Linked DNA regions of Elephas maximus indicus. The protein of the gene in region 1 interacts with the protein of each later gene in a biochemical or structural test. Links are inferred from orthologs where the notes say so. Each region holds a gene or a part of one and is shown on either strand. Other genes may lie near its edges.

Region 1 (7,262 bases):
TACTACTGCCTAGTTGCCGAGACAATGTGGTCACGCCTCCCGGTTCATAAATAATGAAAGACAATGCTGCAGAGTCACAGAGGGAATGATGTCCCCTCCTCGCCACCCCTGAACTGCTCATGAGCCAGGACTGCCTTGATCCCACCAAACCCAGACTCACTACATGCCTTTGGCAGATGCCTCAGTTTCCACAACTGAAAATGGGTATAGTAACAGAACCCACCCACCTCATGGGGTTGAAATAAGTTATTATGAAAATTAGAGGATATGAATTATGGGACGAGATTAGACCACTGCTGGCACAAAAACACTTAAATTTTTAAAATATTACATAGTAATATAAAGGTAATTTATAAATATGTATTTATATTAATATGAAATTAGTTCTGGGTGAGGGTATACCCAGTCACTTGAGAAACCCCCACTTGGAGCATTATTTAAAAAATAATGCTGTGAAACACCCTCCCGGAAGAATACTGGAAAACAGCATGATAAGGCAACCAATGTCTGTGAAATAAGTAGGACAGTCTACCAGGTCACCAGATACAACCATATGCCAAAGCCCCAGGCACACAGTAAGAACTCAACACATTTCTGTTAAATAATAACAGACCACAGTAACTAATCCCCTACTAAGTGGTAGCTCCTGTGGTGTGTCCTTTCTATGCATTGTGCCACTGATATCCTCTTCAGGAAAACACCGTGAAGGTGGTGCTTTTATTAGCCCTGTTTTGCAGAGGAGGAAACAGGTTCCTTCCGGTTCTTCAGGTCTCAACTCAAATGTAACCTCCTTAAAAAAAAAAAAAAACTTAAACCCTTACATTTCTGGCCACCAGTTGCTGGCTGTGTGGCCGGGGACCAGACACTTCACCTCTCTGGGCCTTGGTTTCCCCATCCATAAAATGGTAATAATAATAGTAACCTACCTTGTGAAGGAGTTTAAATGAGTAAATATGTACAAAGCACTTAGAACAGTGCCTGGCACTGCTATATGACTAACATTAGTGGTAGTACTATTATATTGGGGAGGAGTGGGGAGGCATTATGGCACTTGGTTAAGACTGCAGACTCTGGAACTAGACTGGGTTTGAATCCTGGCTCAGCCACTCACTGGCTGTGTAACCTTAGGCAAATTACTTAGCCTAACTGTGTCCCAGTTTCCTCATCTATAAAAGGTGATAATAACCTACCTCCCAGAGTTGTTGTGAAGATTAAATGAGCTAATAAAGTGCTAAATGAGTGTTTGCTAATTTTATTATCATTATCCTCATACCCATTTTTCAGGCTCACAAAAGCTTTGCCAAAGATCACACAGCTGGCAAGGATTGATGAGATTTGCATCCAGAGTTTTTGTTGATAACATGGGATACTGGGCCATAAGGAATTATGAACAATGCATGAGGCTCCACTCCTTCGCTAGATGCAAGGCTTATACACTGGAACCTACGAGGGAAAGCTAACCACGGATCATGTAGAAGAGGCCGCAAAAGCCATGCCCCTCATGAATTATACGCAATGCCCCTAGGAAAAGAAGCCCTGGTGACACAGTGGTTAAGCGCTCCTGTGCTAACCGAAAGGTTGGCTGTTCGAACCCACCAGCCGCACTGTGGGAGAAAGATGTGGCAGTCTGTTTCCCTAAAGATTAAAAAAATCTATCGCCATCCTGTCGATTTGGACTCATAGCGACCCTATAGGACAGAGTAGAACATCCCCCTAGGGTTTCTAAGGAGCGGCTGTTGGATTCAAACTGCCGACCTTTTGGTTAGCAGCTGAGCTCTTAACCACTGCACTACCAGGGCCCCTCTGTAAAGATTACAGTCTTGGAAACCCTATGGGCCAGTTCTGTCTGTCCTATAGGGTCACTATGAATGAGGATTGACTGGAAGGCAATGGGGTGGGAATGGGCCCTTAGAAAGGCCGCAGAAAACATGAGGCTCTACTCACCTGCATGAATAGTCAATAAGCTCTAGTTTGGTGTGGCAGACCCCAAACCCAGCTTCAGCACACTGACCCGCCCCCTCGTGAATAATTCACAACTCAATACTTACAGTGGACCAGGTGTGAAAGAGGCAAAAATCTGCTCCTCTCAGGAAAAGCCCAGCAGACCGGGCTCTGGAGTCCCTGGGCACAGCATGGGGTCGGGGTTCCTCTCCCCAAAAACGTGTGGACCCCGACGTGCTCAGTCTCACCACCCTGGCTCCCCAAGTGCAGAGAGTACCCCATCATGGAACCATCAGAGGTCACAATGGCCATGAATACCTTCCAAATGCCACATCGGTCCTGAACGTTCTTAAACATTGTCAGCGGGACACTTCCTAATATAAACTCTCCCAAAATTGCGCCTTGACTTCAGGAACCTCAAACTCCGCCTCCCTGCTTGGGGGACACCTCAATTCCTCCCTCATGGACAGAGTACTCAAACGTGGACCCTAAGGGTCTCTCCCCCCGCCCCCCAAAAAGAAAAAAAAAACCAAACCCGTTGCCTTCCCGTCGATTCCAACTCATAGAGACCCTGTGGGACAAAGCCGAACTGCCCCATAGGGTTTCCAAGGCTGTAATCTTTACGGAAGCACACTGCCACATCTTTCTCCCCCAGATAGGGTTCGAACGGCCGACCTTTCGGTTAACAGCAGAGCACTTAACCACTGTACTACCGGGGCTTCTTGGTCTCCCCAAACATCCCCCTAAACACTGCCTCCGAGGGGGTATGCCCCAAAACAGGCTTCCAAATCCCACCCGGAGTCCTCAAATGCCACCTCCTAAGGATCCTTCCAAAACAGACACCCCTAAATGCTACCCTGGGCCTGGAGCCTCCAAATGCGCCCACTAGGGGATTCTGAAGTTGAGCGCCCTGTTCCAAATGCTGTCCAAGGGTTGGGGGCACTGTGCTCCATCTTACCCCCTGGGCCGGGCGGAAGCCTCGCCTTCCTGCTAGAGATGAGCCGATGCCACGGATCAACGGAAGAGCAAATCACCTCCGTCGTGCAATAGGAGCCAGAGTTTGCTCGGAGTTCAGAAGCGCGGGGCCTTAGAGGTCCCCTGGGCTGGGCCCTACCACAGACGCTTGGCTAGAGGGGCACCTGTCCCTGCTTCCGCGCAGCCAGCGCCCGTTTCAGACCCAGACACCCCTACAGACCGTGGTAGTCCCGGACGGCGCGGGGCATGCTGGGGGTGGTAGTCCTGTCTGGCCAGCGCCTGATGCACGTGGTGGGCATCGGCTCCCAGGGTAAGGGAAAATGTAAACCTGGGCCGCGGGCGCAGTGCTCTTGGGGGAGTGGGAGAAGGGAGCAGAACGTGGAGGTGCTTCCAAACGGAAAGGCACACCCACCCTACAGAAGGGGAGACTGAGGCTCAGGTGGCCAGAGGAGTTCATTCACTTGACATCTATGGAGCTTAAACTGTGGGCCAGGTGCTCATGGAACTGACATTCTAGCTAGACAGACAGACAGACCATAAACATAACAAATAAGTAAAAAATCATAATTTCACATATAAATATGTATTATAATAAACATGTGACATAAATTATGTGTAATGTACAATTTTTTTATCATGATAAAAATTTTTTTAACATGATAAAAAAAATTTTTTTTTTAACCTAGCTAGTATTTATTAAAATGATTTACATCTGTATATAATAAATTTGGAGCCTTAGTATTTATTAAAATGATTTACATCTGTATATAATAAATTTGGAGCCCTGGAGGCATAGTGGTTAAGAGTTCAGGCTGCTAACCAAAAGGCCGGCAGTTCAAATCCACCAGCCGCTCCTTAGAAACTCTATGGGGCAGTTCTATTCTGTCCTATAGGGTCGCTATGCGTCGGAACCGACTCAATGGCAACGGGTTTTGGTATAATAAATTTTTTTTATGTTAAATACATATATTAATGTGTGAATTATATAAATAAATATTTATTGGTAAAGTAGAGAGGCTCAGTGAAAACGAGGGAAACCCTTTAATGAGATGGACTGACATAGAAGCCACAACAATGAACTCAAACAGACCAATGATCATGAAGATGGCACAGGACAGGGCATCATTCTGTATACCTGAGGCCCACTTAACAATAACATTGTATACATATGCTAACTTCTAAATGCTATGGGGGAAAACAGGACAAGGTAAGGGGAATCTGTGGGGATAGGCTGCAATTTCAGACAGTGTGGCCAGTGAAGGTTTCACTGAAAAGATGACATTTGTGCCAAGGAGTTTATTTAACACAGAATATCTTTATCACCTTATCCCAAATTCTGTATCTCATACCCTGTTAGCAACCTCCAAATTCGTTCATTTGAAAATGATTTATTGAGCGCCCACTAAGTGCAGGGCCCTGGGGATATAGCAAGGAACATAGCAAGGGTCCCCTTGCAGTTGTCAAGATCTTGCATCACCTCAGAGAAGCCTTGCCTGATACCCACAGTCTAAAATAGTCAGGGAATGCCTCTCTGAGGAGGTGACATTTGAGCAGTGAGGGAGTGAGGAAGTGAGCCATGTGTAAATGTGGAGGAAAGCATTCTAGGCAAAAGAAACATCAGGTGCAAAGCCTTGAGGTTGGAAGGATCGTGGCATGATTCTGTGTAGATGGAGAGGAATGAGGAAAACCAAAAAAACTAAACGTATTACCACTGAGCTGATTCTGACTCATAGTCCCTCTATAGGACAGAGTAAGGGAGGCAGACTGTCACACCTTTCTTCAGCAGAGCAGGTGGTGGGTTCGACAAGCCAACCTTTCAGTTAGCAGCCGAGCTCTTAACCACTGTGCCACCAGGGCTCCTTGAGGAATGAGGAAGGGAAAGTATTAGGAGATGAGATCAGACACCAAATCAAGTAGGGTATTGTAAGCCAGGCTGAGATGTTTGTTTGGCTTTTACTCTAAGATCCGTAGGGAGCCTTAAAAGGGGTTTAAGCGGAGAAGTGACATAATATAAATTATGTTTTAGAACAATCTGGTTGCTCTGTATGGAGGGACAAAGAGGGTTATAGGGGCAAAGGTGGAAGAATCGAGATCTGTGAAACGGCTACTGTAAGAGTCTAGGAAGTGATGAGAGGATCAGACCAAGATGGTGAAAGTGGAAGTGGTGAGGAGTGATGATTCTGGATTGATTTTGAAGGTAAGGATGCCAAGGTTTGCTGAGAGATCAGATGTAGGGCATGAAAGATAGAGTCCTGGCTGACCCCCCAGGCTTTTAGCTTGAGCAGCTGGAAGGATAGAGTTGCCATCAACTGACATGGCACATAACTCCATTACGAGCAGATATGGGGGAAGATCAGGAGTGTGTTTTTGGACATGATAAGTTTGGACATGATTATGGGGCCCTGGTGGCCTAGTGGTTAAAAGCTCGGCTGCTAACCAAAAGTCAGCAATTTGAATCCATCAGCAGCTCCGCTCCTTGGAAACGCTATGGGGCAGTTCCAATCTGTCCTATAGGGTTGCTGTGAGTAGGAAACGACTCAACAGCAACAGCTTTGGTTTTTTGTTGTTGCTGTTAGACATCCAAGTAGAGGTGTCAGTTGAGTGAATAGCTGGGGACCGGGTCTGAAATTCAGGGGTTGGGAATAGGTCTGGGCTGGAGATACGGATTTGAGCTCATGAGAGGTGGAAATTGATGCCATGGATGTGTCAGAGTTCTTCTCTGAAGAACTGATTGCCTTCAAATGTCTCAGAGGCAGTAATTGAGGCCGAATTTGACTTGGACAAGCAAGAGGGGAGAGTTGGAGGAAACTACTTGAGCAAAAAAAAAAAAAAGCTTGTGGAGGTAAGAAAGAGGGGAAAAGTAGAGGGAGAGGTGAGGGGAAAGGCATTTTGCATTGCCTTCAGCAACATAGAAGAGTGCCGGTTTATTCACAATCTCACAGAGTGTATTGTCAAGCTTTTGGATGTTTGTCAATCACTGTAATTAGAATTTTCATTTCTCTTATTATGAGTGAGTTTAAGTATCTTTTCACAGATTTGAAGATAACTGCATTTTTTTTTTTTCTGGGAACTTTCTGTGCATGTCCTTTGCCTCCTTTCTATTGGGTTGGTGTACTTACGGATTTTCAGGAACTTTTTAAAAATAGAGTCTTGAGGATGAGAATGATTTGAACAGTTGTGGTGTGTGCATTTATTCACGTTTCCAATATCTGGTACGCCAAACCCTACTCTAGGCACTAGGGATACAGCGGTGGACAGGACAGATAAAAATCCTTACCCTCATGGAGCTTGCACTTCAGTGATGGAGACAAACCATATAGAAAAATAAATAAAATATACAGTACATTAGAAGTTGAGAAGTGCTATGGAGAAAAGCAACGCAAGGAAGGGGCATAGAGAGTATGGTGGAGGAGGGGTTGGAATTTTAAATAGGGTAGTTAGGGCAATCAGAAGTGACATTTGAGCATTCAGATGTCTCACCTCTCTAGTCTCCTTCAGTCTTTCCTTGATTTTCATGACCTTGACACTTTTGAAGATTACAGTTATTTTGTAGAATGTTCCTCAGTTTGGGTTTGTCTGATGTTTCCTCAGATTTGATTCGGGCTCTGCATCTTGGATAGGAATACACTGTATCACAGAAGTGATGCTGTCTTCTCATTTCATCTTATCAGGTGGTGTACAGTTTTAATACTGATGATGCTCACTTTCATCCCTTGATTAAAATGCTATCTGCGAGGTTCTCTACTGTAAAGTTATTATCTTTTCCCTTTGTAGTTAGCAAGTATTTGGTGGTGAAGTACTTTAATACTATGTAAATATTGTTCCTCATAGAAGTTTAACCCACTGAAATTCAGAGGGTTTTATCATTTGTTTTATAATTATTAGACGACATTCTATCGTAAAGAAAAGCTTTCCCTCCTCCATTTGTTTCCTCATTTATTCCTTTATTTATATAAAAAAAATTATATAAGTATGGATTAATGGATTCTTGCGCTTTATCAAAGTTTTTTCTGTGGTTGAGATTATTGTTTCCTTTTAGTCAGTTAATATGTTGTTGTTAGTTGCCATTGTGTAGATTCCACCTCAGGGTGACCCCACGTGTGCAGAGTAGAACTTCTTCAAAGGGTTTTCAAGGCTGTGACCTTTCAGGAAGCAGATAGTCAGGCCTGTTCGCCAAGGAGCCTCTGAGTGGGTTTTGACTAGTATGTAAGCATTTAACCATCGTGCCACCAGGGTTCCTTTTTTAATATTTTGTTGCCATTTTGTGCCTAAAATTTTTTATAGTCTTCCACATAGAAATGCTGAGAATTTCCCACAATAATACTGTTGTGTTGTTGACTGCTGCC
Region 2 (7,124 bases), on another chromosome or scaffold:
TCTAATTATTGGGCCCATCTGGGCAATTCAGGCTAGTTTCTCTATCATAATTAAGGTCAGATATTTACTAACCTTAACTACCTCTGCAACACCTAGATTATTGTCTGATTGAATAACCAGAGTATCCTTAGATCTTCAGAGTTCTGCCTACAACACATACCCCAAAATTCCATATATGAACATATAAAAACACACAAATACAAGACACTCTGCAACGTAGCATTTGAAGTCAACTGCTATTCAGGTTCTATTCCTGCAAACTAATTAACAATGTGGTTGAAATAATGGATAAGCCTTCCGTAAGTACAGTAAAAAGAAAGAAAAAAAGCTTTGCTAATGTAAATATTCTTAGGAAATACAAGTTCAACACCGCAAAGGCTGGACTGAAGCAAGAAGACTGGCCTACTCCCCCCGCAAAGCAAAATGAATAAGGAAGTGATATCTGCTCACAGCCTAGAAATAGGGCTAAACAGACTAAAACAAATACAGAAACACAGACCACAATGCTTGTAGTCAGTAAATGGTAGGTGATGAGTTCATACCTGTCTGATCCCCCAGCTTGGTTTCCCATGACAAGGTAGAGACAGTAGCCTCCCACCACCATCCTCTGTCCAGAGTGAACCATCTCCTCCACAGTCCCCTAAAAGTCTGCTTTAAATGCAGAAATACATGTTCCTACCGTAATGAACACAAGGTAAGTAGTGGACCTTATTGAAACACTGACTTTAAGGAGCCTGCATTTGACAAGTTTGGTTTGCTCCTGCCAAACATCAACTCTCCCTGTGCAGCACACAAGCATGTGTATTCACCAATTATTTTTATTATTCTTATTTCAGTTTATTTTCAACTTTCTTCCAAAATTATCCTCCATCTAATTATAACAACAGTAACAACTAACGTTACTGAGAGCTATGAATCCGGGATCTTGCTAAGCCCTTCACCTGCAATATCAACTTTGATCTTCACAGATGAGGAAGTTGTAGAGAAGTTAAGGGATTTGCCCGAGGCCAGAGGGAGGGTCTCAACCCAGGTCTGCGGCTGCAGGGGCCACACTCTTAACCACGCTACCACCTTGTCTCCTATCAGTCAATTCAAAGGTTTCTGGCACCTTCAATCACAATGGCATTCCATAACTTCTCATGGCAGCAGGCCTCTGAGTTTTATTCCAAGAGAGCATTTCACTTTAAAAAGGTACAATAGGGTATTCCTAGGCTTCTCACAGGGTCGCTATGAGTTGGAATTGACTCTACAGCAACAGGGTTTAGGCTTCTCATTTCTCCATTTACTTTCCCCAAAATACTGGAAACACTTTATTTACTGCCTAAGAAAGCCTTAACTAGGTTTTCTGAACACTACCTAGGAAGAGTAACAGGTGACACTATTCAAAATCCCTGATCTCTTATTAGAGAGAAATATAAAATCTGATCTTTCAACTACAACTCATCACAACGAGCTTTTTCCTTTTAGCAGGAAAATAACACTTTTTTAAAAAACTTTTCAGTAGGCAATTCAGGCTTTCCTCCCCAACTTCTTGCACATTTGTAAATCTGCAACTTAAAAAAAAAAAAAAAAAACATTGCCACCGAGCGGATTCCAATTCCTAGCGACCTCTACAGGGTTTCTAAGGCTGTAAGTCGTTACAGAAGCAGACTGCCACCTGTCTCTTTGGTTAGCAGCCGAGCGCTGAACCACTGCACCACCAGGGCTCCTTAGTCTGCAGTTAAGGGGCCTCTAAATTACTAAAAGGGGCGGGGGGGGGTATTTAAGCATTCTAAACTAACACCACCACAGTACTAATGTATTTATTTAAGTATTTCTCTTTGTTTATACACTAAGAAGTAGGGTAGCTAGTAGGCACAAGAGAGTACCCACATCCCAGACCGTTTTATGACAGTCACAGTGTACCAAACCAAATCACATTTGCTTCTAACACGCGAACAAACAAGCATGACTCAGTGGTTTGGGGAGTCCGGGGCTCCCACATGGGAACTAACTGAAACACCTACACAGCTAGCACAGGGGTCATCTGGAACCTTCTCGGGTCCTCTGCATCCTCAGGGCACCGTCCCATCAGGCCTGGGTGGTCCGCTGGCACCCTGATTTGAAGCCGCAACCTCGGCCCACACCCCTGGACCCAGCAGCGCTGGAAGGGGATCCGCCCGACTGTCGCCGGGACGCAATACTGCGAGGCGAGGCGGGCACAGCCGGACGCGTCCCGCCTCGAGGCCTGCGGCCAACCGGCTATCCCGAAGGAGTAAAGGCGAGGGGCGGCCCGGACGGCGTCCGGGGTGGGGCAGGCCCGCGGCAGGGGCTCGAGCGTCGGGCAGCCCCCGAGAAAGGCCGGCGCGGGGCCCCGAACTCACGTTTGTACTCGGCCATCAGCCTCTTGAGCGCCGTCCCCGCCATCGTCCGGGCAACAGCAGCTCCCTGCGCCCTCGCCTCATAAGGGCCCGTCCCTCCCGCCCCGATGCCGGCGGCTGCTTCCGGGTTGCCGTCGCGACCAGAGAAGCTCTTCCGGGTCGCTGAGCCAACCGAGTGCCCAAGCGCCCCCGGACCCCGGGGCTCGGTCTGGAGGAAAGTTCCGGCCGCGCTCCTCGGACCGAGCGGCCCGGTGTGGGTGGCGGGGAGCGGAGCGGACGGGGCCCTTTTGGGATCGATGACGTCCCGACCGCTGGGCTGATCCCAGCGTGATACCGCAGTTTCCGGTTTCTGCAGGACCGAGTCCTGGATCCGTGGGCGCCCCGGTGTTTGTCATTACCGTGTTGTTTTATTCCGGCTGTGCGCAGAAATGACCGGTTTAGACGGATAACGTCAACGACAGCCTTAGTGAGAGCGCAGGTGTTCCGGCTGAGGCCTGGGGGCCGGCGGCGAGGGCTCGGCTCTGGCCCCGAGTTCAGCCGGCCTTGGAGCAGTGCTGGAGTCAAAATTACCGCTAGCGTGTTGGTCCAGTTCACGGAGATGACTTTCTCTTTATTAGGGGTTTTAATTCTTCAGGCCCAACTGAGGCTTAAACTGTTCAGGAAGGAGACATTTGGTGCGCGTTCGGAACAAAACTCCTCAAGCAGGCCTTAGGTTTTTAGGGAGTAGAAGAAGGTCGGTGATCGTGGTGGTTTTATTCTTCATTCGAGGTGGCCAGGCTGGAACTCTGATTCCCAAAGCTCTGGATCAGAGAAGAAGCTGTGGGAAAACAACGGGGAGCAGAGCAGCCACCCTCATGCCGGGTGGGCAGTGGCCCCCATTCTTCCTGCCTGCCAGCTCTGCTGACCAACACTGACCTGGGGTCACCACCCAAAGCAGAGGCAGCAGCCTCCCAGATTTCCCCACAGGTCCCTTCTGGGTCCAACGGGCTGGAGTTGTGCCCACTTCCCGGTGCCACAGGAGGGCTGATGAGTGACTTCACCTTCCTCCAAATCCCACATGGCCTCTGCTTCTCCACCTTCTCCCACAATGGTGCAAGGTTTATCCCTGTAACCAGTGAGACCTTTTTCTATCGTCTGGGTTCTACTCCCGGTTGACCTGCAGGGATTGGGTGATGTATTTATGCTTCTCGGAACCCGCATCCTTAATGACTTCAAGGAAAATGAGCACACTTAGTACCTGGTGGCTGTGCTCAGTATGTGCCTTTTGTATAAACAGCCCTCACTTCCTGCCTGGATTGTTGCAGTCGCCTCTTAATTTGCCCTTCCCTCTTTGTTTTCAACATAGCAGACATGACCCATTTAAAAGATGTCAAGTCATATTGACACCCGGCTGCTCCCATGTTCCTAAGTAAACACTCGTGTCCCTACAGTGGCTATGATGTTCTGCCTCTGCCTCACCTGCAGACCCCAGCACCCTGGCCACCCCCCCAGCCACTCTCATGACTAGTGTCTCAGTGCTGGCTTCTCCATCTTTGGGGAGCACCCATCTCTTAGTAGCCCTTGTGTCCCCCCCTCCCCACCCCCATCTCTTTCAAGTCTGTTCAAATGTTAACCAAATTGGTGTGGCCTGCCTGTCCCCTACCTAAAACTGCAGCCCTACCCACCACTTGCCCACTGGCCTTTACCCCCACCTCACTTTTTTCTCCCCCACACTTGTCCATTCTATATGATTTATTAGCGCACTATATAACTTACCTGTTTCTTCTAAACAGGAGGGTAGGGATTTTGCCTCCGTACCTGGACATGGTGTGCTCTCAATAAGTATTTGTTGAATGAATGAAATTTAACAGTGCAAACACGATTCATTAAGTTTGCATGTTTTAGGGTAGGAGTGTCACCAAATTTCAGTCCAGCCCTGATTTTCAAAGGACCACCTGTGATTCAGAAAAATTATGTGGTAGTTAAGATACTTTTAGACTGTTTCAAAGAGTAATGGATTTGGACAAAAGGTTACAAAGTTTCCTCCCCCCATCCCAGACAGCAGCCCACTCCTCTGTGATCACAAACCCCAGCCAAGCCCCAAAGCAGTCGGCAGACCCACTCCATTGGTCACAAGGGGGTGGCCTTCCCATGTCTTCTCAAGGAGAACAATTCAGCTTTTGCAGTTAAAGGAAGTGCAGGCGATGAAAACCATCATCGCAAACGTCAGGACGACGCTCAGAACAGCGGCCCAGCACATCCTGGATGCTTTCTGAGTCAATCCCTTCCAGACCTCACTTCCCAACGCACCGCGGAGCACTGTGTCTGTCCTTCGGTAACAATCGTAGGAAATGGGTTTTACAGTTTATGTCAGGATTCACTTCACATTCCCGTGGCAGAAACCCAAAATAGGAGGTGATTAAACAAGATGAGGAACCCTGGTGGTGCGGTGGTTAAGAGCTACGGCTGCTAACCAAGAGGTCGGCAGTTTGAATTCACCAGCTGCTCCTTGGAAACCCTGCGGGGCAGTTCTCCTCTGTCCTACAGGGTCGCCGTGAGTCAGAATCGACTTGTTGGCATTGGGTTAAACCGGATGAACTATTTCTCCCGGGTAGATGCGTAAGGCTGGCTCGAGTATCTTCAGGGAACCAGGCTTCTCTTGTTCCACTGTCCTGAGCACATCTCCTCACGCTCCAGCTACTTGTTCTTTATCCGAAATTCAAATTTAACTGGGATGTATATTTCTATTTAAGGAATCTCGGTGGCGTGGTGGTTAAAGCACTCGGCTGCCAACCAAAAGGTTGGTGGTTCAAACTCACCACTGCTCCATAGGATAAAGATGTGGCACTCTGCTTCCATAAAGATTACAACCTTGGAAACCCTATGGGACAGTTCTGCTGTGTCCTACAGGGTTTATATGAGTCAGAAGCGACTCAACAGCAACAAGTTTGGTTTTTTGGTATCGTTATGGATTGAATTGTGTACCCCAAAAATGTGTATCAACTTGGCTAGGCCATGATTCCCAGAATTGTGTGGTTATCCATCATTTTGTGGTCTGATGTGATTCTCCTATGTGTTGTAAATCCTACCTCTATGTTAATGAGGCAGGATTAGAGGCATTTATGTTAATGAGGTGGGACCCAATCTATAGGATTAGATTGTATCTTGAGGTATCTTTTATACCTTTTGAGATATAAAAGACAGAATCGAGCAAAGAGACCTCCTACCACCAAGAAAGCAGAGCCAGGAGTGGGGTGTGTCACTTGGACCTGAAGTCCCCGTGCTGAGATGCTCCTAGACCAGGGCAGGATTGATGGCAGGGACCTTCCCCCAGAACTGAGAGAGAGAAAACCTTCCCTGGAAGCTGGCACCCCGATTTCGGACTTCTAGCCTCCTAGACTGTGAGAGAATCAATTTGTTAGTTAAAGCCATCCACTTGTGGTATTTCTGTTATAGCAGTACTAGATGGCTACGGCAAGTATGTATGTATTTATTTATTGCTGTATCTGGCAACTCTAAACCCAGATAAGTTGGTACTGGTTGTCCAAGTGTTCTGAGTAGCAGGCATGTGATAGTTACTGACTTTCCTAAGCAGCACACACTGGGGAGGCAGCAAGTTCAGAACAAAATTATGACTTTGATATTCTCGGCAACTAAATTTCTGAAGGATAAAAAGGACCTCGCGGCTGAACCCGTGTTACATGGTACAGCTTTAATATTGCACTTTAATATTGCACTTCTCAATGTGCTGCTTCACCTGTGCAGCACAGCTCAGGCGACCCACTGTTCCAGTTTGCCTGGACTGAGAGGGTTCCAGGATGTGGGAGTTTCAGTGCTAAAACTGGGAAAGTCTCAGCTGGGACCCTAGGCTACAGATAACAGGATAAATAGGGCCCATCTTCCTGAAACACCAATTTAACCCATAAACCAAACCAAAACAGAAACCCTGGTGGCACAGCAGTTAAGTGCTATGGCTGCTAACCAAAGGGTCGGCAGTCTGAATCCACCATAGATGCTGCAAGTTAGCCGTTAGCCATTGCCCTCGAGTCGATCTCCGACTCATAGCGACCCTACGGGACAGAGTAGAACTGCCCCATAGAGTTTCCAAGGAGCACCTGGTGGATTTGAACTGCCCACCTTTCGGTTAGCAGTCGTACCTCTTAATCACTATGCCACCAGGGTTTCCTAATTCTGTAAATTAGGTTTATGGAATTCAATGTTTTTAAAAATACCAGTCCTAACAGATCCATTATTTCAGATGTACCACTTGGTGAGTTTCCAAGATAAAGACAACCTGGAGGGCATTTCCTGCCCTCTCTTCCACTGCCAGGTGTTGAGGGTGGAAATCCACGCAGCACGGCTGTAACGCAGCCAAGTCGACCCTCAGCCATTCTGCTTTTCTAACTGAGGGCATCTTGGGCACACACCTCTCCTCACACAAACTAAGATGCTCCTTCGCTCAGGTTGTAGCCACCCCTCCCCTCCTAGCAGAGAGGACTTGGCAAATTGGTCAAGCTCTGTAATGCGCTCTGATTTAATCCCTACAGTCTTGTGGTGAGTCAAGTGCCAGCCTGGATGTGCTCAGTGTCCCCACTGCCATTGACCTTTCGCCTTGTGCTCACTTCAACTGACGAACAAAACAGCCCTGGCACTGTCAGCCCTGGTGCTGCCACAGCACAGCGTGCTGAGAAACTGTCCGCATCAGATTAGCACCAGTTCACTTCTGCTTCAACACAGGCAATGAGCGGACTGCCCACGGCACAAAGGAAAACAGTCTTTGAAATA

The links. The genes of interacting proteins can lie anywhere in the genome.
Region 2: of the proteins of UBA1 (region 1) and UBE2G2, one has a biochemical effect on the other in vitro, tested with the Homo sapiens proteins (5 studies listed by BioGRID, with this or other methods). The link is inferred for Elephas maximus indicus from reciprocal best matches to the Homo sapiens genes UBA1 and UBE2G2.

Annotation. Positions count from the first base shown.
Region 1 is NC_064846.1:124,611,751-124,619,012, forward strand, and holds the start of UBA1 (ubiquitin-like modifier-activating enzyme 1), read right to left. Parts: upstream 3,106-7,262; 5' UTR 2,900-3,105; intron 1-2,899. UniProt on the Homo sapiens protein: Catalyzes the first step in ubiquitin conjugation to mark cellular proteins for degradation through the ubiquitin-proteasome system.
Region 2 is NC_064820.1:229,237,576-229,244,699, forward strand, and holds the start of UBE2G2 (ubiquitin-conjugating enzyme E2 G2), read right to left. Parts: upstream 3,004-7,124; 5' UTR 2,407-3,003; coding exon 2,364-2,406; intron 1-2,363. UniProt on the Homo sapiens protein: Accepts ubiquitin from the E1 complex and catalyzes its covalent attachment to other proteins. In vitro catalyzes 'Lys-48'-linked polyubiquitination. Involved in endoplasmic reticulum-associated degradation (ERAD).